Linked DNA regions of Caenorhabditis elegans. The protein of the gene in region 2 purifies or fractionates together with the protein of the main gene of each other region. This does not show direct contact. Each region holds a gene or a part of one and is shown on either strand. Other genes may lie near its edges. The genes, in order: ZK856.7, kin-1, pold-1 and sur-5.

What was found.
Region 1: the proteins of kin-1 (region 2) and ZK856.7 fractionate together in Caenorhabditis elegans (co-fractionation; one large-scale study listed by BioGRID). This does not show direct contact.
Region 3: the proteins of kin-1 (region 2) and pold-1 fractionate together in Caenorhabditis elegans (co-fractionation; one large-scale study listed by BioGRID). This does not show direct contact.
Region 4: the proteins of kin-1 (region 2) and sur-5 fractionate together in Caenorhabditis elegans (co-fractionation; one large-scale study listed by BioGRID). This does not show direct contact.

Annotation. Positions count from the first base shown.
Region 1 is NC_003283.11:10,200,144-10,203,072, forward strand, and holds ZK856.7 (uncharacterized protein), read left to right. Parts: upstream 1-1,954; 5' UTR 1,955-1,955; coding exon 1,956-2,089; intron 2,090-2,135; coding exon 2,136-2,367; 3' UTR 2,368-2,410; downstream 2,411-2,929. Other genes in the region: chpf-1 (EF-hand domain-containing protein), read right to left, coding at 2,574-2,812, 2,858-2,929.
Region 2 is NC_003279.8:14,912,177-14,916,778, forward strand, and holds the start of kin-1 (cAMP-dependent protein kinase catalytic subunit), read left to right. Parts: upstream 1-1,589; 5' UTR 1,590-1,603; coding exon 1,604-1,813; intron 1,814-2,345; coding exon 2,346-2,513; intron 2,514-2,967; coding exon 2,968-3,133; intron 3,134-4,602. Other genes in the region: ptr-23 (SSD domain-containing protein), read left to right, coding at 1-86, 135-277, 325-439, 487-596. UniProt on the Caenorhabditis elegans protein: Essential for larval development. Controls the rhythmic contraction of enteric muscles probably by regulating G-protein coupled receptor aex-2-mediated calcium influx in GABAergic DVB neurons.
Region 3 is NC_003283.11:12,039,712-12,045,879, reverse strand, and holds pold-1 (DNA polymerase delta catalytic subunit), read right to left. Parts: upstream 4,325-6,168; 5' UTR 4,271-4,324; coding exon 4,184-4,270; intron 4,104-4,183; coding exon 3,855-4,103; intron 3,810-3,854; coding exon 3,438-3,809; intron 3,395-3,437; coding exon 3,261-3,394; intron 3,214-3,260; coding exon 2,484-3,213; intron 2,439-2,483; coding exon 1,425-2,438; intron 1,379-1,424; coding exon 930-1,378; intron 885-929; coding exon 674-884; 3' UTR 533-673; downstream 1-532. Other genes in the region: F10C2.5 (alpha-1,2-Mannosidase), read right to left, coding at 16-448; Protein kup-1, read left to right, coding at 5,014-5,103. UniProt on the Caenorhabditis elegans protein: Possesses two enzymatic activities: DNA synthesis (polymerase) and an exonucleolytic activity that degrades single stranded DNA in the 3'- to 5'-direction.
Region 4 is NC_003284.9:7,300,865-7,307,166, reverse strand, and holds sur-5 (Acetoacetyl-CoA synthetase), read left to right. Parts: upstream 1-1,596; 5' UTR 1,597-1,597; coding exon 1,598-1,817; intron 1,818-1,971; coding exon 1,972-2,075; intron 2,076-2,160; coding exon 2,161-2,281; intron 2,282-2,328; coding exon 2,329-2,652; intron 2,653-2,702; coding exon 2,703-2,854; intron 2,855-2,897; coding exon 2,898-3,082; intron 3,083-3,502; coding exon 3,503-3,669; intron 3,670-3,730; coding exon 3,731-3,831; intron 3,832-3,886; coding exon 3,887-4,022; intron 4,023-4,569; coding exon 4,570-4,879; intron 4,880-5,078; coding exon 5,079-5,235; intron 5,236-5,281; coding exon 5,282-5,407; 3' UTR 5,408-5,778; downstream 5,779-6,302. UniProt on the Caenorhabditis elegans protein: Activates acetoacetate to acetoacetyl-CoA. Negatively regulates let-60 Ras activity during vulval induction.

The DNA.
Region 1 (2,929 bases), on a different chromosome or scaffold from region 2:
GAAAAAACAGAATGACAAATTCATTAGCATGCAGTTAAAAATAAAGAGGAAATGAGTTGAATGGCAATGGAACTCCATTATAATCTTTTTGCACCACAACTTGAAATCAATGGGACAATCTAAATCCCGATAAATAGAAATAATTGTAAACCAAAAATATACACCGTTTATTTACAATGATGATGTAAAAATTATGTCACAATAATAGTAGTTTAATCGGAAAAAAACACATTATTCGTATTTGAATCAGCCCACAAATATTCGTGCGGAGTTTCAAGACCAGTTCGTTGAAACTTGAATTTGAATAATCGGATGCTGGATCGTGACTCAATAATTTAGAATGACGTCAGATTCTATGGCAACTAATTTACTTTGTAGATTAGTCATGTACAGATCCCCGAAAATTTGGTTTTAAGACCTGAAATAAGATCTTCAGTTCATTCGATTTATTTTCAAAACATTGTTGAAATCAGGACCAAGGAAGTAAATGAATAAAACTAGATATTTATTAGATAACCGTCGGAGGATCAGAATTCTGATCAACACTTTTGGCACAACAGTATTTCAAAGTGAAGAGCTCATTTCTCTCTTTTGTACCCTTTCCTGAAGTTAAATTATCATCTTCAGACAAAATATCATTCTTCCATTACTGTTTTCATAAGACAATTAAATTTTTTATACTGGCATAAAATTTTTGTCTAACTCTCAAAAACTAGTCTATCTCTCTACTGTAACCGAACAACAACAAAACACCAAAAGATTAGAAAAACTAGAGTCACACACGTGGTGTACTTTATTTTTGTGATTTTTGTGACAACAATAAGAGAACATATACCAGTTTTCAATATTCGGCTTCATGGAATACTGTAACGCGTTAACCTTTAAATTGTGAAATCTGATTAAACATGGAAGATTGTGTTGAATATGAAATTTGGAAAAGAAATACTCGGGAACAGTATTTAAAAGTTCAAAATATACATAAAATGATCGTTTAGGTTCGAGCCTACATCGTCGAATATCGTATTAAATTACTTATGTTTTTATTGGTAAATTGCCAAATTCTAGAAATTTCTAGCATGTTCGAGCCCATGTTCAGATGCTTAGATATAATTAATAGAAATACAAATCGACTAGAACAATCGTAAAAAATTGTTTTATTTTGAAGTTTTTCTATGTCGTAATATTAACTTTTAATGACAGTTCATTTTCTTTCAGTCGCGGGGTGCTCATTCTTTTGCATTGTTAAATTGATAAAATACTTAAAATGTCGATACAACATGTAGGTGCTAAGATGTGTGCATGCGATGCATGAGTAGCTTCCCGAAGATCACCTAGTCCAACTATGCCTTCTTTACTAGCCCAAATGTTAATTGACATCGTGTGAACGTAGTGTTAGGATGTCACCAGTTACGCATGCCTACGTCTGTAGGCTCTTGTGCTCCTACATGGTATACTTAGTATGAATACAGATATCAGTGCCGATCCTTGAAAATGTGAGAATGTGGTCGTCAAAACAAAATTCACAAATGACACACCAATTGCTTTTTCGTTTAGTCGGTGTTTGTTTGAAAACAAAACTGATTCAATGCTTCATTCATTTGTCTTCTTCTTTTTGATTTACTTTATCGTTGTTTTGTGTAACAACACCAAGGCTCTCAAGGACAGCCCGTATCGATCGCAATTCGGCCGCTGTGGCAGACTACCCATTCACCACTGCGACCGATAGACCGACTACTACCTGTTTATACCCAATTATTCGTTCTCATGTTTCTTTTTATCCTTTTTACTGTTGAATTACCAACAGTTGAACAATCAAAATATTTTCTATAATAACAAAATTTCTCTTCCTCCATTCTTTGTACCTTTCCAATGTATTTCTTTTGTGAGAACACCAACGTTGCTGATATTTTGCCATATCAATAGAACCATTGTAGTCTACAGTATACTTTTTTAGAATGCGTGTCGCAGTTATTCTTCTGTTCTTTTTATCTGTCGCTCTCGCATGTGACATCATTGTTCATTTGAAATCGGACACAGACAAGAAATTCAGCGGACAAATTGTTGCCAGCAATGGAAAGAAATCTGAAAGGTTTGTTCGGAGGACATCAATAGAAAAATTATGTTTTCTTTTTCAGATGGAGCTATTTGAAGAAGCTTCAGAAGAACACCTTCCAACAGAAAGCCGATGAATGTGGACTCAAGGATTGGGAGATTACTACTTGGGATGATGCTGGAAAGCCAGTTGCTACCGTAAAAGTCACTTTGGATGGAATTGGAAGAGTCACTTACAAGGTTGGAGATGATTTGAAGGCAGTTCAAAAGGATCGTCAAGGAGCCATCTGCAAGGGACAATGTGCTCCTTTGTAAATGTTTGAAAACTATTAATCAATGATAAAACTGATAAAACATTCATTTTTCTTTGTCAATTTTGATTTCACACGAAAATTGATAAACAACTTCTGAGATAGTTTGTGTCTTCAAGGCAAAATGGTGAGAAGTGACAAAAATTATGTACAGGTAAGAGAAAATGGCAAACTGAAAACGAGACTAGCAGGGGAATTTCTTGTAAAAGCTTAGTTTAGGAATCGAATCGACATCTTCTCCTCAATATCAGTTTTTTCCATTGCTCGACAAAACTCATCAAAAGAAATTTTTCCATCACGATCTGCATCAGCTTCCTCAATCGTTCGATCAGCAATCTTGTCGAGTTGATCAGAAGTTATATTGGCACCAACCATACTGTTCAGAATGACTTTGAATTCTTCACGTGTGATGTAGTCGTTTTTATTTAAATCGTACATTTTGAACGCAACTGAAATAAAATTAAATAATTAAAAACTTGAAAGAATAATCTTACAAAGCAATTTGTCTTTTCTCGAGTTGAGAGCATTTTTCTTTACTCTTGAAATCGGTTGAAAGTGTGCAAGAA
Region 2 (4,602 bases):
TCCAATCACAATGGCTGCAATGATTATCTCCATTGGGTTCTCTGTCGATATTCCCGCTCACGTATCATATCATTACTATCAAGCTTGTTAGTTTTTTGTTATGATATATCCTGGAGAGTAATAGTTAATTTCAGCAATACAAGAAGGACCCATGTCTCCGCCATCATCTCGTCTTGCAAACTGTCTATCTTCTGTTGCATTCCCAGCATTGCAGGCAGCGTTGTCCACAATTTTGTGTGTCTGCAGTCTATTATTTGTTAACCTGTATATGGCAGAAGTGAGATTTTAGTATTCAAATTTTCAATCAAAACCACTCTTTTCAAGGTATTCGTGAAAACCATGGTGTTATGTGTAGTACTGTGCAATCTTCATGGTCTCGTGTTCTTACCTGCTATCTTGATTCTTTTGGATTCTATTCGATGGGCTTGTAGGCCTAAGGGTAAGAATTCACAAATGATTATTTTCTTGAGACAAAGAAAATTTAAGGTGCTGCTGCACAACGTCCAAAGCAGCCAAAAACCAATTCTCGCCAGAAACAGAAAAACGACAAAGTTCAGCCGGAAAAGAGTGTGGTCACTGATCGACCGGAAATCTAAAAAAAACCATTAATTATATTTCTTTTTAACTTCTCCACCTATTAATCTCATGACACAAACCTCTGTTCCATTTGAGTTTCCCGTTTCCTTCCAGTTTTCTGAAAATATTCGTCCCCACCAAAAAGTCCGGGTTTTTATAGTGTTGCCCAAGTTTTCATTTTTCGTGTTTTTTGTTTTTGTGTACATTTTGTGCTTTGCTGATCATACCTATTAGAAATTTTCAAAGTGAAGAATTGATTTTTTTCCGGTGATTTTCCGACATCTTCTTGAGTTTCATTTTGCCAAGCTAGAAATAAAAGCATTGAAAATATACTTGAAAACAAACGGAAAGGTTTTTAGATTTCAAACAATAAAAATAAAATCTAATATCATAGTGAATTTTCAAAAAATCTTGCAGTAAATATTGTAGCTGTTCCAGAAAATGTTGAAGCGTGCGTGTGCCTAAAGTGATACACTGGATTTACTATAAGGCTGCTGCAGCAAAAACAAGTCCCTGATGAAACTCAACTTCTTCCTTCCTTGAATTTTTATAAATAAAGTGCGTAATGCGTACTATCGTCATTCTTATGTAGCAAAAAGTAGCTATGAAACAACGTTTGAAAAATCTTGAAAAATCTGAAAATCTCAAACTAGTCATGCGTTCAAGTTTCTCTCGCGGTGCTCAAAAATTCATTGGGTAATAATACTCCGACATAAAAAACGAATTTTATGTTCTTCACCTGAATAGGACCAAAAGGGCTTTGTCATACTATTCTCCGTCCGTGGCCGTGTCCATTCTCAGTGTGTTCTTAAACAAACACTGAGAGTCGTGGAATGAAAGACACAGAGGGAGAGAGGGAGATGGCCGATCCTTTCTAAACGCGCACCTCCACACAGAGACACTCGCTCACAATACCGTTCTTCATCTTCGTTTATTTGTGTATGTTGTTCCCTTTCGCACCCTGAGTCTCACAAAAATATTGCACATACTAAACTACTAATCAGTTATTCCATTTATCCTTATCACGATGGACCCAAGCCCGTTGAAGAGAAGAAAAGTAGAGGATGGTGAAGATAGGATTTTGGCAAAATGCGAAAAAGCTGCTGACACTGTTGAAATTGTCGATCTATCGCCAATGCCATTACTAACTGACGAAGCTGGACCTTCAACCTCTACAAATGTTCAAGCATCACAATCACAGGAGCAATTACAACCACAGATGGATTTGAAACTTAGAGTGAGACTTTTATAACTACAGGTGGTGCTAGTTAATAAAAAGGCCTGTAAATTAAATTTTTCCTCGGATGTTTCTTGAATAAAATATAAAAAACTTGAAAGAAAATAATAAAAATCTAGGTCTAACAAACCATTATTTTTGATCGACGCTCATTTCTTTACGAAAATTGGTTATTGTTTGTAGTTTTATATTTCAATTTAATGTTCGGAACAATACAAATACATTTTAAGTAAAATGGAGTTCGATCGTAAACTAAAATTCTGCCAAAATCCGCGACCTTCATAATGCCGCAAAAATTGGAGCATTTGAGAACTTTTAAGTTTAAATTTTGCGTGTACCGCACACTCAGACCAGCCCACAAAAATGCCTGATTAGGGGTTATTGTTAGGTTAGGCGCAGCGAAGTAGGTTGCAAGTACTGGACGTTCTGTAGGTATGAAGGCATACATGAGCCTTTGTACCTGTATGAAATTGGAATTTAACAAGATTATATATTCAGTGAAATCTTCTTACCAATTCACCTACACTTCCAGGAACTCCTTCTTTCTTCACCAGCACATCTATTCGGGCTTCATACCATTCCCGCAAGTGGCTCAAACAGTCAGCAGCCAGACGACAACAACCCTCCACAGGCAGCTGTAACAAGTTGGGAAAACTGGTTATGCTTTTTGGCAACCAACTTATCACCAGCTCAGTGGCAGGTACTTTTTTCCAGATTTTTTTTTCAAAATAGAATCACCTCCCTTAGCGCATAGACGGCAATATTGGGAAAAACTACATTTTTCACAAATTTTTTTTTTTTGACTTTCCACGTGGCGAACAAAAGATAAATTCTAATTTCTAATAGTAAGTTTCACCGAATTTTGAACTTGTTTTAATTTAATTTAAATTCATTTCTGAATGTCATCGGTATCAAACGAAATGTAAGATTTTTCATCCAGTAATTTCAGCAATTATTTTTTTAAAGACATTTTTTTACTGGCGAAATGAGGAAAAACTTCTCAACCCTGATGGAAATAAAGTGTTCTGACAAAACAGAGACTATTGTTGTAACGTGCATTTTGAAGAAATTTATTGCGGGAAAAAATCTCTCAAAACTGCGCAACAATATAATTTTTTATTCCTTCTACCAAAAATAAAATGCAAGTATTTCAGGGCTACTGGCTTGCACATTGTGCATTATTTGGAGATCAAGCAGTTCCCGTTCATCTCCTCAGCTTCTTCCAAGGACACATCTCACCGTCGTCTTCTTCATCGCCAACATCCACGCAATATTTGACAATTGGACCACAACCAAATGACGAGATTCAGGAAAGATATGGTACGCTTTTTAAAAAGATTATTTGATGGGGGATAAGTATGAGAAAGAGTCATAAATAGGTAGGTTATTTTTTGAAAGTATTTATATTATCGTACAATTATCTGCGTATTATTGAACGCCAAATCATTCTGTAACTAGAGTTTGATCGCAATTCATCGAAGTTTTGCTTCAGAACTGTAATATTTCCTTTATTGACGCGAATATAGTTGGAAAATTTGCTAATACAGTCCTTGGTTTCTTTGGTTTCAGTTTGGTTCTATGATAAATATTAATATCTATCGTTTGTCGACTTCTTCCGCTGAGCGAGCATCTGGCAGAAGTAAGCTATGCAATCTCATTTTTGAACGTGCCGTTTTAGTTGTACAATCAATTCACTAGTATTCGAAATCGTGCATCCAACTTTATTATAAAGGGTTTTATCTACATAATATGGATGTAGGTACATTGTTATTTTTGCATTACATTTGAGCTTTTTTTTTGCTTACATTTGAGCATTTGGTTTATCCTGCTATCCTTTCGTGTTTACGCCATATTTTCAAGCTCCTCTCTTTCTTCTTCAGTCTATTTTGCAGAGTTCGGACTTTAAATGTGGGTACCTAAAGTTCATAGTATTATAATTTCCAACAACTCGAACTCCGAAATTCCTTTGCAAGTTCTGACAACTGACTCATTTAGCCTACAATTATAAAAGAGAGGGAGAAAGAGAAGCTGAAATATTTGTCTCCGTTTTTACTTCTTCTTTTTCTTCAATTTCACACCTTGTCTTGGCTGCCCGTGGCAACGTATTTACTCTCACTGCTTTTCATTTTTCTTCCATTTTATTCCTGTCAGGATTTCCCGCTCATAGTCAGTAGAAACATATGGTAGTTTCTATTACTGGTCAATTTTAATTGGTATAATTAATAATAAGTTTAACTCCCGCGCATGTGTATCACTGTTTTATTGGGAAATTGTCTAAATTTGAAAATCCAACAAATATGTTGGTTGGTTTCTAAAATTAAAATGTTTAAAACTCCTTTTACTTGATTTTTTTTTTCAGAAAAGTTGTTTTTTTTCTCTTTAAAAAATCTCCGTCTCTCACTATTTCTCTTATATTTCAAGCAGTCAACCTATGTCAAAATAAACTATCATTAGAGACACTGCTCCTGGAGAGTCACTACCACCACCACCTGCTCTTTTTATTTCTCTCTTGCTTTTCCACATAGGTATTACGAGGGCAACCGGGGGTTAAATAATCGAATCAATCATATGAAATTCCCATATTTGATTTTATTCATGGCCATAAATGGAATTTGTCTAAAAATCGATAAAGTGGATTTTTTATTATCTTATCAAAAAATTTAACCTCAAAACTTGTAGGTAGACACATTTTCTGGGTAACAATCAATTTTTTGTGACTGTAGACACAAGATAAAATAAGTCACCTAAAAAGATGTCAGTAGAAACCACAAGATGAGACATATACCCAT
Region 3 (6,168 bases), on a different chromosome or scaffold from region 2:
TGAAATTTAAATTACCTTTATGCCTTCCCGCTAGCATATGTGCAGATATTAATCCGCCAACAACTCTGATATTCGTCTCGAAAACAGAAACATTCACATTAGCATCATCACGAGCTTTCTCAAGAACAAGTGACACTGCTCTTCGGAATTCGGTTGTATTTCCCATCACCAGAAGAGTATCTAGAGCATCAATTAATGAAAGAGAGAATGATCCCCAGGTGTCTTGTCCAACGCATGTTATTGGTTTCAGTTCATCTAGTGGAAATGCATGATCCAAATATCCGTTGTAGGCGTGGTAGAACATTTTTTGAACTTTTTCTCTATAAGAATCAATAACTGATGGAGTGAATCTTATTGAAGACTTTTTATTATCGGGAGCTTCGGAATCATCTGATGCTTGAATAATTGACGCTAATGCTAAAAAGAATATTGCTTTTCGAGTGATCATCTGAAAATTGTGGTATTTTAAATTCAAATTTAATATATCAGACAAGTATTTTAAGCGATTATCGCTTACAAAAAAGTTTAAAGAATTAAAAACATATGTTTTAATCATCAACGCGAGTTTATAAGATAACCAGTAATAAAGAAAAATGTGTGATGAGATGAATAGTGTGGTAAGATCATTCACAGTCAATAATAATTAGACAAATAAACCGGGATCATAATTAATTCATTTAGTAGGTGCCTGGAAGCAAGGATCTCCAAATCGTTCGATGACGGCACTTGCCTCCGATAGCTCGTTTCGAACTTTTTCCCTCATATAGTAGATCGGACAGTCTCGAGCCGAGCAATTCACTTTGTCTTGCATAGTCTTTGCACAATTTTGGCATTCGGTCCAGAGGCGACCAAAATGGTTTTCAAGTTCGTGCATAGTGTTCATTCTGAAATGAAAAATATAGTAGAACAATTATTGCATTTCTAATTACCTAGAAGCAAAAATCGTTGGAAGCTTCGGCTCACAGTGTTTGCAAACTGCGTTCTCTGATTCTGCTCTTGGTAAAACACTCTTGCAACCAAGACAAGTTGCAGATTTCGTTGTGAACGCTGCAAGACCTCCAACTTTACTCTGAACGACTGTACGAACTCTTGTATGTTCTCCTTCCACCAGAATCTTTTCTGCTCTATCACCCAAGATGGGCTCGAAAATTCTGGCAAGTGGTTTGGCGAGTTGATTAGTCAAGTAGTGTTTGGTGTCCAATGGAATGTTATTTTGAAGTACAAAAGTTGGATCTTCAGCTCGTTCGTATGCCGGAACATTTTTTGCAGCAGCGACAAAAACATATGGAACTCTATCTCCAAGTCTTGGTGCACTTCCAGCGTCTCTTTTCTTCATACGAGCCGCCAACTCAACGTGAGCTTGCTTTGCTTGATATTTCTGAACATAATCAATTAGTTTCGTAAGGTTTTGAAATCGAACTTACATCTCCAGACTTTGTTAATTCCTTACTGATAATCAACAATGAGATATCAATTTTATTGCAGAGCAAGTCACTAATTGTCCGTTTCGCAAAATCCAAAGCAGATTGTTGATCTCTTTCTATTAGTAATTTCTCGAGGCAAACACCGAGAACTTTTGCAACCAGAGGGCAGTTATCACGGCGAACAGTTTCTAATCCTTTACAATCCATCTTGTCATGAACATCCGGTTTAGTGAAGTAAAGGCCAGCGTATCTCTTTTTGTTAATAAGTAAATATGGGGAGTAAACTTTCTCGAATTCAAGTTTGATCGGCGGAGTGAAAATCTTGCTGACTTCTTTAGCAGCATCGAGTCCAATTTCCATTGCTTGAGCTACAGTTTCGACACCGAATTTCACCATTACAGAATCTGTATCGCCATAAATAACTTTCGCATCTGCTGGACATTTTCCATCGAGAGCTCCTTTTTTGTAAATTCTCTCCACTTCGAGTTTCGTCATGTCAATCATTTTTCTTCCGAAAGCTGTAACTGATTGAGAAATCTCGAGACATGGCAACTTTCCAACAGTTGCACCAGTGAAACCATAAACAGAATTTGCAGAGATTTTAAGCGCCAATTGTCGTCCATTGTAAACCATTCTTTTGAACTCGTCTTTCTCGTTTTTCATATCGTTCTTCGCTCGTTTTCTTGCAGCCAGAATATCCTCGAGAATCTCGGGAAGAAGCCCACGGCGCTTAGATTTGGTTGCAAAATATTGGCCAGATGGTGTCCGAATATAATCCTCATTCTCAACTCCTTGTGGGGATTTTAAAAGTGTCGTGTAACAGAGATTATGAGCAATCATAATGGATGGATATAGAGAAGCGAAATCAAGTGTTGCAATTGGTTCATTGTAAAATCCTCGAATCGGATCAATGACAGTAGCACCTTCGTATCCTTCACCATCCCCAGAATTGGCTTCAATTACCGGTAAGAAGAAATTGTTCTGCTTACATCTTCGTAGCATCATTGATAGAATCTACAACAATTTCAGTATTATAATTTAAAATATATTTTGATTTACCTTGATTTGTTGACCTTTTGTCAGTAAGAAATTCATAGGAACTCCGGTGACTCTAGCCATTTCGATGTAATTAATAATTGACATTAATTTATCAAGCAGACGAAGAGGAAGATATGCGTCTTTCAAACAATATTGAGCCAATCGCCTCCTAGTTTGTTCATCTCCTCGTTGTAAATCAGGAATAATATTATGTTCCACATCTTCTTTTTGTTCGGATAAAAATTGATATGAGACACTATTGAGTGTATAACTTCGGAGTTTGTAATCCCGAAGTACAACTTGAAGTACATCAAAAATAATTCTTCCGTGAATATCGATACTCTTGTTCACTCGACTTCCCATCTGTTTCGATGATATTGCAGCATCTCTTACAACTGAGCCTTTTTCTTTCTGACGACCAAGATGAGAAACTTGTGGCAGTGATAGAACTTTAGCACGATCCAGAATGTATGGAAGATCAAAATTGAGAATGTTATATCCAGTGATAATGTCGGGATCCACTTCACGAACAAATTCAGCCCACTTTTCGAGAAGAACTTTTTCATTCACACATTGAATGATATTTGAACCGACGACCGGTGCACATGTTCCAAGAACGAAACAATTACGAACAAATGGTTCTGCTTCACCTTCGATTTTCACAAGATTAGCTATTTGAATAATAGGATCTTTAATTGCTTCGGGAAACACTCCACGTCGACCAATACATTCGATATCCAGAGACAAAGTACTAAAAAAGTTATTTTTTCAAAAGTAAGTTCAAACTTTCAAACTTACCGAATAGGAGCAATTCCAGCCCATTCACCATCACTTTCATGAACAATCAGGTTTTTGACCGGAACTGTGACTTCTATTTGACAACGAGACGACTTTTCACTGTTTGAAAGAATTCGGCACTTTCCAGCAGGAATCTGAAATCATAAAGAATTAAAAAAAAACTAATATTGTCAAAACCTCAATCCAGCCACATCCAACAATATTCGTTTTCGCCAAGAACATGACAATCACATTAATATTTGACTCGTATAAATTCCCAACGTTCACAGGACCCTTTCCCATCAAGTTAACTCCATTTTTCAATTCCATTCGCGCTTTGTGAAGAGCTTCTGTAGATCCTGACACCTTGACAAAAGGAACTTTCGTATCAGCACCGCGGAAGTAATAAAGATTCTCTCCGTGAACTATCTCCACATGAACAAGATTATCAACTACTTTTCCAGGCAATTGAGCTTGACCGCTACCACCTCGGCGTTTTGCTGCAGCAACCATATTGCAAATTGCAGATTGTGCAGTTCCAATGTGCTCGACACCGAATCCTTGTGGTGCCTGTAAGAAATATTACCAATACTTATTTTTTAAAGCTTAGATTACCTGGAAATAAAAATGTGGAAAGTAGTCAGTCACAATGACACAAATCGAATTTCCAGATTTGGTTACACCATACAACTTCACATTTGTTCTGTCGTAAGATGTTGCAGAGCCGTCTTCATGATACGTTTCGACCTCTAAGATCTGACACGCAATGCTTTTGCTAATTCCGAGATCTTTATCGACTGCTGGCCTGGCCCATCCTGTTTTATCAATCGTTGGTACAGATGGAAGTTCATTTTCGAATCTTGACTGAAAATAAATGGTTAGTGATCATTAAAAATAAAAAATGCAATTTTTAAAAGCTTGAAATCATAATATGAAAAACTTACAACGTAACACTGCTCGAATTCGTCACTTTCACGCTTTCGCTTCACTTCTGGTTGAAACGAGCTCCCGCCAGGACGCTTGGAGGTCATTTCTGATAAAACTCAGCATTAGAACAATAAATAAACTATGAAAGTAGAAAGAAATTGTTTGTCAAAATAGTAATGTAAACGTGCTCAAACGAAACGCCGCGAATCGTTTTTTTGTCTGAACAAACGTTTAAAGATTTAATAGGGAGAGAATTAAGGCGATTAGGTGGGAATTTAAAGTTTCATAACATCGAAAATCCGTTTAGATTGTGATAATCAATAAATAAAACAATAAAATAAGAATTGAAAGTCAATTTTTTTTATTTCCAAATCTTTTCGCTTTGTTTTGCCGCGCATTTTGGGTAGCGAATGTGCGCTCCACTGCAAAAACATTTCTACCGCGCTGTTTGAAATCTGTTTTTTGGGCCAATCGATTTTACGGTTTTGTTTGGAAGCGTTTTTCACTGAGAAAAACCTGGCCACTATTTCCTCGCATTCTTTTATATGTTTTTTTTTTCGAAAAATCAAGCTAATGCGCTATGATAAATTTGTATTACCTTATTTTGTTCAATCTCGACTTTTTGCTTTCAGCTCTCGAGTTTTATTGCGCGAAAAGCATATTTACCGTCCTTTGAACATTTTCTACTCGTTTAAAATAGTTATTGTTGCGAGATATATTGAACGCCTTCTTCAAACTCTTTTCGATCATTGAAAAATATATTTATTCATTGTTGAACTTTTCTCCCTTGTCTTCATTGTGCATAACAGTTTAAATGTATCTAAATTTTATTTATTTCAGCAGAGACATGGACGACGAGCTCGATTATGGATCGGATCACTCAATACACGGCGACGTTAGAGAAGATCTGAGTGACAGCGAGCTTCAACTACCGAAGGTGAGTAGTTTTCAAGATAAATCTGTTTAAAATATTACGTCTGAAATTTTTATAAATATTTCGATATTATCAAAGTGAGAAATTGCGAATTCAAATTTGACTACAAAGAGGAAGATGCAAGATGATCGGCTCGTTTTTTTCGAGAGCGTTTTGTTTGTTTGAATTGGGAAACTTTTGATCGTTTTGCTGGAGTCAAGTTTAATGACGCAATTCTTCATTTTGAAAATATCGCATAAAAATTTAAATAGTTCAAGCTTTTTCTTCCAGTGATCTCTGCAAAGTATAGTTCTGGTTACAATCTAGTGAAATTCCAGGGTTTAAACTTTAAAACTTCCATAGCTTGGCTGAAGTTTTGTACTTGTGTGGACCTGACTTCAAGATGAAAGTTGCCGTTTGACTCGCTTTGTCTAGAAAGTGAATTTGCTTTATTTCTGTGAGAGTGAGCGTTCTAAAATGACATTTTGTAACACGTGGAAGAAATGTAGGATCGGCCACTGAATTCTCCTTCATCTGTAAAGAATTATTAAAAAGTATGTCGTGTCAATTCATTCTGGACAGTCCATTCTATAACCCACGAACGAGCGACTAATTACTTCATAATTTAAGCCGACTTGTTGACACGACACACTGGCGGTCAGTATTATCCAGAGGATGAGGTTGCTGTGTAATTACAGCGTGTTCTTAGTCTCTCTCTCTTTCTGTCTTTTTCATCCTCATCTCTCACATACAGACGCGAACATACACAAAACGCCCGCAGGTAATTGAACACAAACAGCCTGGTGGTTAAGGTAGTGACCGGGACAACGATGACGACGTCCGGAGGAAAGTGATGGAAAAGACAGGAAAGAAACAGAGAAAGACTGTCGACTGCGGCGGCGGCGACGGAGAAGGAGAGCCCCTATTGTGCCCCTCTTCGTCAGGCCATTCATCGTGTGTCCTTGTGTTGCTCCCCTCCAATTCAATACCGTCTGCGGTGGTGGAGGTGGTGGTCTCCCGAACCGAACCGCCGCGGAAATATTTGTCTAACAACTCGATGACACAAAAAGTTTTACGACAATGCCGACG
Region 4 (6,302 bases), on a different chromosome or scaffold from region 2:
CATGCTTGTCATCCACTCTATCCACTCGGCCATCTCGCTGTTGCAGGCAGTACTAATTGGGGATAGTGAAAAGAGTTAACGTAGAATTTCAGACGTAAAAATTTCAGATTTCCAGCCCGAATGGGCCAAAATTTCAGTCATATTCTTATAGTAGAGAATGTCAGCTTTCCGATACAATATTTTTTTTTTGAATATCGCTCCACTTATTCTGGTCATTCCCTAGTAAGTTTTTTCAGTTTTACCAGAAATAAAACCACTCATAAAAACTATAAACTACACATTTAAACTGTAAATGTTGGAAATCATTTTGACCATCAAACAATAGCTATCGGAAAATGCAAAGGCCATTCCGTGATGGCACGCTCTTCTTCTATCCATCGCTCCTTTTCAACGAAACACACACACAAACGCAGACTATTGGAAAAGAAAAATATAGAAAAAACCTTTTTTCTCCTTGTCCCTTGTGTTGATCTCACTTTTCAGTGGACGTGTGCAGTGTGGAGGCCAGAGACTGTGCTGACCGACGGACGCGCAGGCGGTAAACATACGTTGCAGTGGAGAGTGTAGTCCCTCGTCGGCTCTCTGTGTATTTCTTTCAATGCCTGTGTCTCGGTCTATCTTTGTCTCTATCTGTTTTAAAAGTTTTTTGCAAAGTTTCAATTTCTTTTTTATTTTCTCTTCTTTTTTTGCGCATTTATTTTTTTTAAAGAGCGCTGTTCTTCAATTGGAAAACAGTATAACGATCGAAATAAAAAAAAAACTTGAAATAGTATCGGAATTGAGATGGGGGCAATTGAAATTGAAGACGCAACAAAAACATGTTTTTATCGTCTGAAATTATCTAAACTTTGAATCTAACGTGTCAATGGCTACTTTTACAGTAGACTTTTTAGAGTAATGTTAAAAAGGATAATATAGGTTTTTCTTCAAACTATTTTGTCACGCCGCATATATTCTTTTCATATTCCATTCGCAAAGTGCATGATGTAACAAAAATGAAACGTCATAATTTTTTAATCTTTCACACTTTTTTTGCCGGCCGTTAAATCAAAATCAAATCAACTTAATCCAACACGTGCGGGCTTGCAATTTTATTACACCGGTGTCCTACAGCGCCATGTTATCTTCTTTGATTAGAGATCTCTCACGCAACATTTGACATTGAAAATTTTGTCTCCGAATTGTTGTGTACCTACTTTGTCCCGATGTCCCAAATTTTCACTGATAACAAGAGATATCTCAACTGTTCTTATCACGTTGATACGTAGAACGTTTTACACTAAACCAAATTGCAGTCCCCTTCTACGAACCGTTTGCTAATTGTTTTGCATAGAACAGTGATCAATGTGTTGTGCTCACTAGTCAATGATGTTCGTCTCTCATTTTTCCTACAACTTCACTGAAAAGGTTTTGAATATCTGGTGATTGTAGGCAATCACACCACAGTTAATGGCCTGGCAAATAATGATAAGCGTGTGATAAACCTCACAAAAATACGCCTAGAAGTGGTGATATCGCTAGTTTTGTGTCCTTTCGATTTTTTTCGTGTTGCTTTTTTCTGTGGATAAACCTTTGAACTTTACATTTTGTTTTCAGAATGACCGCAGTGTCTGCAAACGGAAAAACTACCGAAAAGCACGAAAATGGTGCTCACACCAATGGAACGACAAATGGAACGACGAATGGATCAATGAATGGAAATGAAATAAGCCATGTTCAGAAACTTCAGCCAGTTTATTACAAGCCGCCACAAAATTTGGAAACTTTTGAATTGTCACTCAGAAATCATTTTGAAGAGAAAACAAATAAGAAATTTGGTAATTTTTTATTTAGTAAATCATAGGTTTCAATTTTAACTCTTGATTAATTTGAAAAATCGACCTCAAATAACTGCTATTTAATATTTAACTGAAACTGTGAGCAACTAGATTTTGAAAAATGCAAAATATTCATAACATCCACATTTTTAAGCTGACTACCGTGAATTTCACCGATTCACTTGTGATAATTATGGTATTTTCTGGGAGGATTTGCTCAAATTGTCCGATGTGAAGCTTCATCAAAACTACAACCAGGTATGGTATTGGGAAACTTGTTTCCACTTCCTGGAACATTAATTTTTTATGTGTAACAGCTCGGAAACAAACAAAGTATTTTTAGGTTATCGATCATAATTTGAAAATCAACGAGAGACCGAGATGGTTCAATGGTGCTACTCTCAACTATACTGAAAATGTCATCGAAAGAGGAACCGCCACCGATATTGCTGTATTGAATGCCAGTAAGTGTTTCATGTTCCAAACGTTTATTTATCAAACAAAATTCAAGGTATCGAAGAAACAGTGACAGAATATACTTACGACAACTTGCGCAAAGATGTTTATCGCATTGCCACATCTCTTCGTAACTATGGAATCGGACCCGGAGACACTGTTTGCGGCTTTGTTCCAAACACATATGACACACTGGTGGCTGTTTTTGCCACAGCCGCTGTCGGAGCTGCCTGGTGCTCAGCGTCTGTTGATTTTGGACCTGCTGGTGTTCTTGACAGATTCAGACAAGTTCACCCCAAGGTTTTGTTCACAGTGAATCATGTGACTTACAAGAAGAAGCTCATTGATCAGACCGATAAAATTAATGAAATTGTAAAAGGTTGGTTACTTTTGTCAAATAAGAATTTAAAACAATGGTATAACTTCCAGAGCTCCCAACTCTCGAGAAAATCGTTGTATCCGACACCTTCACATCTGTAAAATTCGATGCAACAAAGTACAATCAAAGTGACAAGTTCTCATCACTCGAAGAATTCAAGACTCCCATTGCCGATGTTGTGTTGCCATTTGTATATACTCCAGTATGATTAAGATTTGAAACATTCAAAGCATGTGGATTTTTAGGTACCATTTTCCGATCCACTCTTCGTAATGTTTAGCTCAGGAACCACGGGAATTCCAAAGGCAATGGTTCACACGGTCGGAGGAACCTTGCTCAAGCACATTGAGGAGCATTTGGTGCAAGGAGATTCAAAGAAACACGATCGTATGTTTTTCTACACTACATGTGGATGGATGATGTATAATTGGTGAGATTTTGTTTTAATTAAAATTGTATTTTAATCAGCAAGAAAATACAATTTAAATAATATTAGAACACCGTAGAAACTGTCCCCTGAAATGTTTTTTTGTATTTATGTAATAATGAACTGTTGGATAAGCTTTAAAATATTGATTTTTTCTAGAGACAAAAATAATTTCCGAATAAATATTCACAGGTTGCTTTCAAGAAATAAAACATTTTGGCAATTCGCCGCAACTTTGCAACCGTTCAGTAACCTTTGGTAGTTCTTAGTGCAAATGCTTGGATGTTCCATCTTTAACTTTGTTCACTTTTGCAACTTTTTTGATTGGCGCTGCTGAAATTGATCACGAGTTTTCGGCAAATTGCTAAGATTGTACTTATTCACAATTTCAAAAATATATAACTTTAATTTTTAACATTTCAGGATGATCTCGTTCCTATACTCCAAAGGATCTGTTGTATTATTCGATGAATGCCCATTGGCTCCTGACACCCATATTATCATGAAAATCGCTGCAAAGACACAATCGACTATGATTGGAATGGGTGCGAAGCTTTATGATGAATACCTCCGACTTCAAATTCCATTCAGTAAGTATATACATATAATTTTCCTCCATTCAACACCGTTAATATGATCAACGACTTTCAGACACATTGTACGACCTTTCCAAAATACACACAGTCTACTCGACAGGTTCGCCATTGAAGAAAGAGTGCTTCGCTTATATCAACACTTATATTGCGCCAGGCGTATGTTCTTATCTTGTTCTTTTGCAACCAAATATAACACAAAGTTTTTTTATAGGCTCTCATCGCGTCGATTTCTGGAGGAACTGACATTATTGGATGCTTTGTCGGTGGTATCAAGTCATTGTCAATCACGCCAGGAGAGTGTCAGTGTTTGTTCCTGGGAATGGATATTAAGTCATTCAATTACATGGGTACGTGCAAAATGAAATGTATAAAACAATTCGGAAAAAGCTAGAACGTTATGTCGAGAATTGTACCATTTAATACTGGGGATGAAAAAAGTGGTACTGGAAAAATTTTCAATATTGGCAGACCTCGGCAAATTGCGATGTATCTCAAAAATTCTTGAAACTCTAAAAATAAAACCATGAATAATAAATAGCATAATTGTATTTCCATCGTATTTTCCAAAATCAAAAAAAAATGCCGAAATCGGTAAGACGTGCAAAAAATTGAAAAAATTGCCGAGCGCGGCAACTTCTTAATGCCCACTTTTTTTAAAAATTTTGCACAGAACCCTGGCGATTGAATAGGTGTTCGATCTTTATAAGAATAATAGGTCCATATGACAATAGGGATTACAGGCCCATATCCCAGGCGAACAACAGCAGTGTTGCAAACAAATATACATACTTTATAATGTTTATAAATAACTTTCAAAGTAGTTTTCAACATTTTTCGAAAAGTTGCGAAGAAAGATAGATCAACTTTTTTCTCCAAAAAGTATCCGAATTGCAGATGAAGAAATCATTAACTCTGACGAACAAGGAGAGTTAGTGTGTGTCACCCCATTCCCCTCAATGCCATCACATTTCTTGAATGACACGGATGGCAAGAAGTACCGTGATGCCTACTTTGCTCGCCTAGAACCATTTTGGGCTCATGGTGATTTTGTGAGAGTGAATCATTCTACGGGCGGTGTAGAAATGCTCGGAAGAAGTGATGCTACATTGAATCGCGGCGGAGTTCGAATTGGAACAGCTGAGATTTATTCGGTTGTTGAAAAAATTCCACATATTGCTGATTGCATTGTAGCTGGAAGACTTGTGTAAGTTGATCATTATGCATATTTAGAGTTTTTATTTTGCTAATAGGTATGTCACTTACTCATTCTCTTCTTTATATTAAGCTAGTTTTAATTACTTTTCTCTATTCTGCAAATAGAAATAAACAGGTCGTTGATAAATTAACTTATATTTTTTATTCTCTAGTATGGCAGAACAAACATAAGAACATTTTTTTTCCAGCGAAGAGGGCATGGACGAGGAAGTTTTGCTGTTTGTGAAAATGGTTCCGGGTCAAGAGCTCACACACAGTATCCAGGCAGCCATTGTTTCTAAACTCCGGAACGACATGTCCCCGCGACATGTTCCAAACAAAATTTACGCAGTTGATGATATTCCGGTAGCTATTTACGATTGAGATATTTGTAAAAACTTTGTTTTTTCAGTATACTTCAAGCGGAAAGAAAGTGGAAGTTGCCGTTAAGCAAATTGTGAGTGGAAAGGCCGTCCAGAAAGCGTCTTCGATTCGCAATCCAGAATCTCTTGATCATTTCGTTCAATACAGACTTTAATCTTTAATTTTATTTCAACGGTTTATTTGTTTCTGTTTCTGAAAATTATATATTCACGCTTTCCTTCTTGCTCATTGCCTGAACCTGTTTTTCTCATTCATGTCATCATCAACATCAATTTTTGAGCTTTGTGGTCCTTTACATTCTCACCTTCAAATCTAATTTAAAACTTTGTGTTAATTCATTCATATTTCCCCTTATGTTAGCACCCAGGTTTTCTTTATTTGCACCGGTTTCTCTCTCACTCCCCAACGAAATAACTCTGATTTCACTGTTCCGTCGTCATCAAAAAATAAATCCCTGTGAAATACTTTGAAAGAGGAAGAAAATTTAATGGTTTCATTATCATTAAGGAATAAACATTTTGCACTAGATGATATTTTGGGCATGTCCTCAAAAACGTTAAAATGAAGACCGTCATTGAAATAGTAGGAAATATTTTCAAAATTTCAAAAGAAAGTATTGTAAAGGTACGAGCCTAAAATGTATAAAATTAGAAGAGTTTGTTCCCATGTAAAATGTGGACATTTCTGACTCTAAAATTCTATGTTTGCTTTTGGAACACTTTATGTTACATAACACACAAATTGGAAAACAATTGCTTGAAACAGATTCAGTTGTCTTGTAATTCATTACACATTTCATTTTAATGTGATTTTGAGATAGTTAACATTTGCAAAATTGTTTTTAAAGTTTTGCAAAGATAAAAATGCATGGATAAAATAAGTACCTAGGATAAATAAATGCATAGAAAATCGGTAAAGCTAAATTTCTGAATAAGGAGTGTTTACTTTTGAGCTCCTTTTCAACAAACTTGATTTTCAAAATCACAAGTAACATCCTTGGTTTGTCCCCTTCGTCCATCTTTGTGTGTTTCAATAAGCGTTGGTGCGGC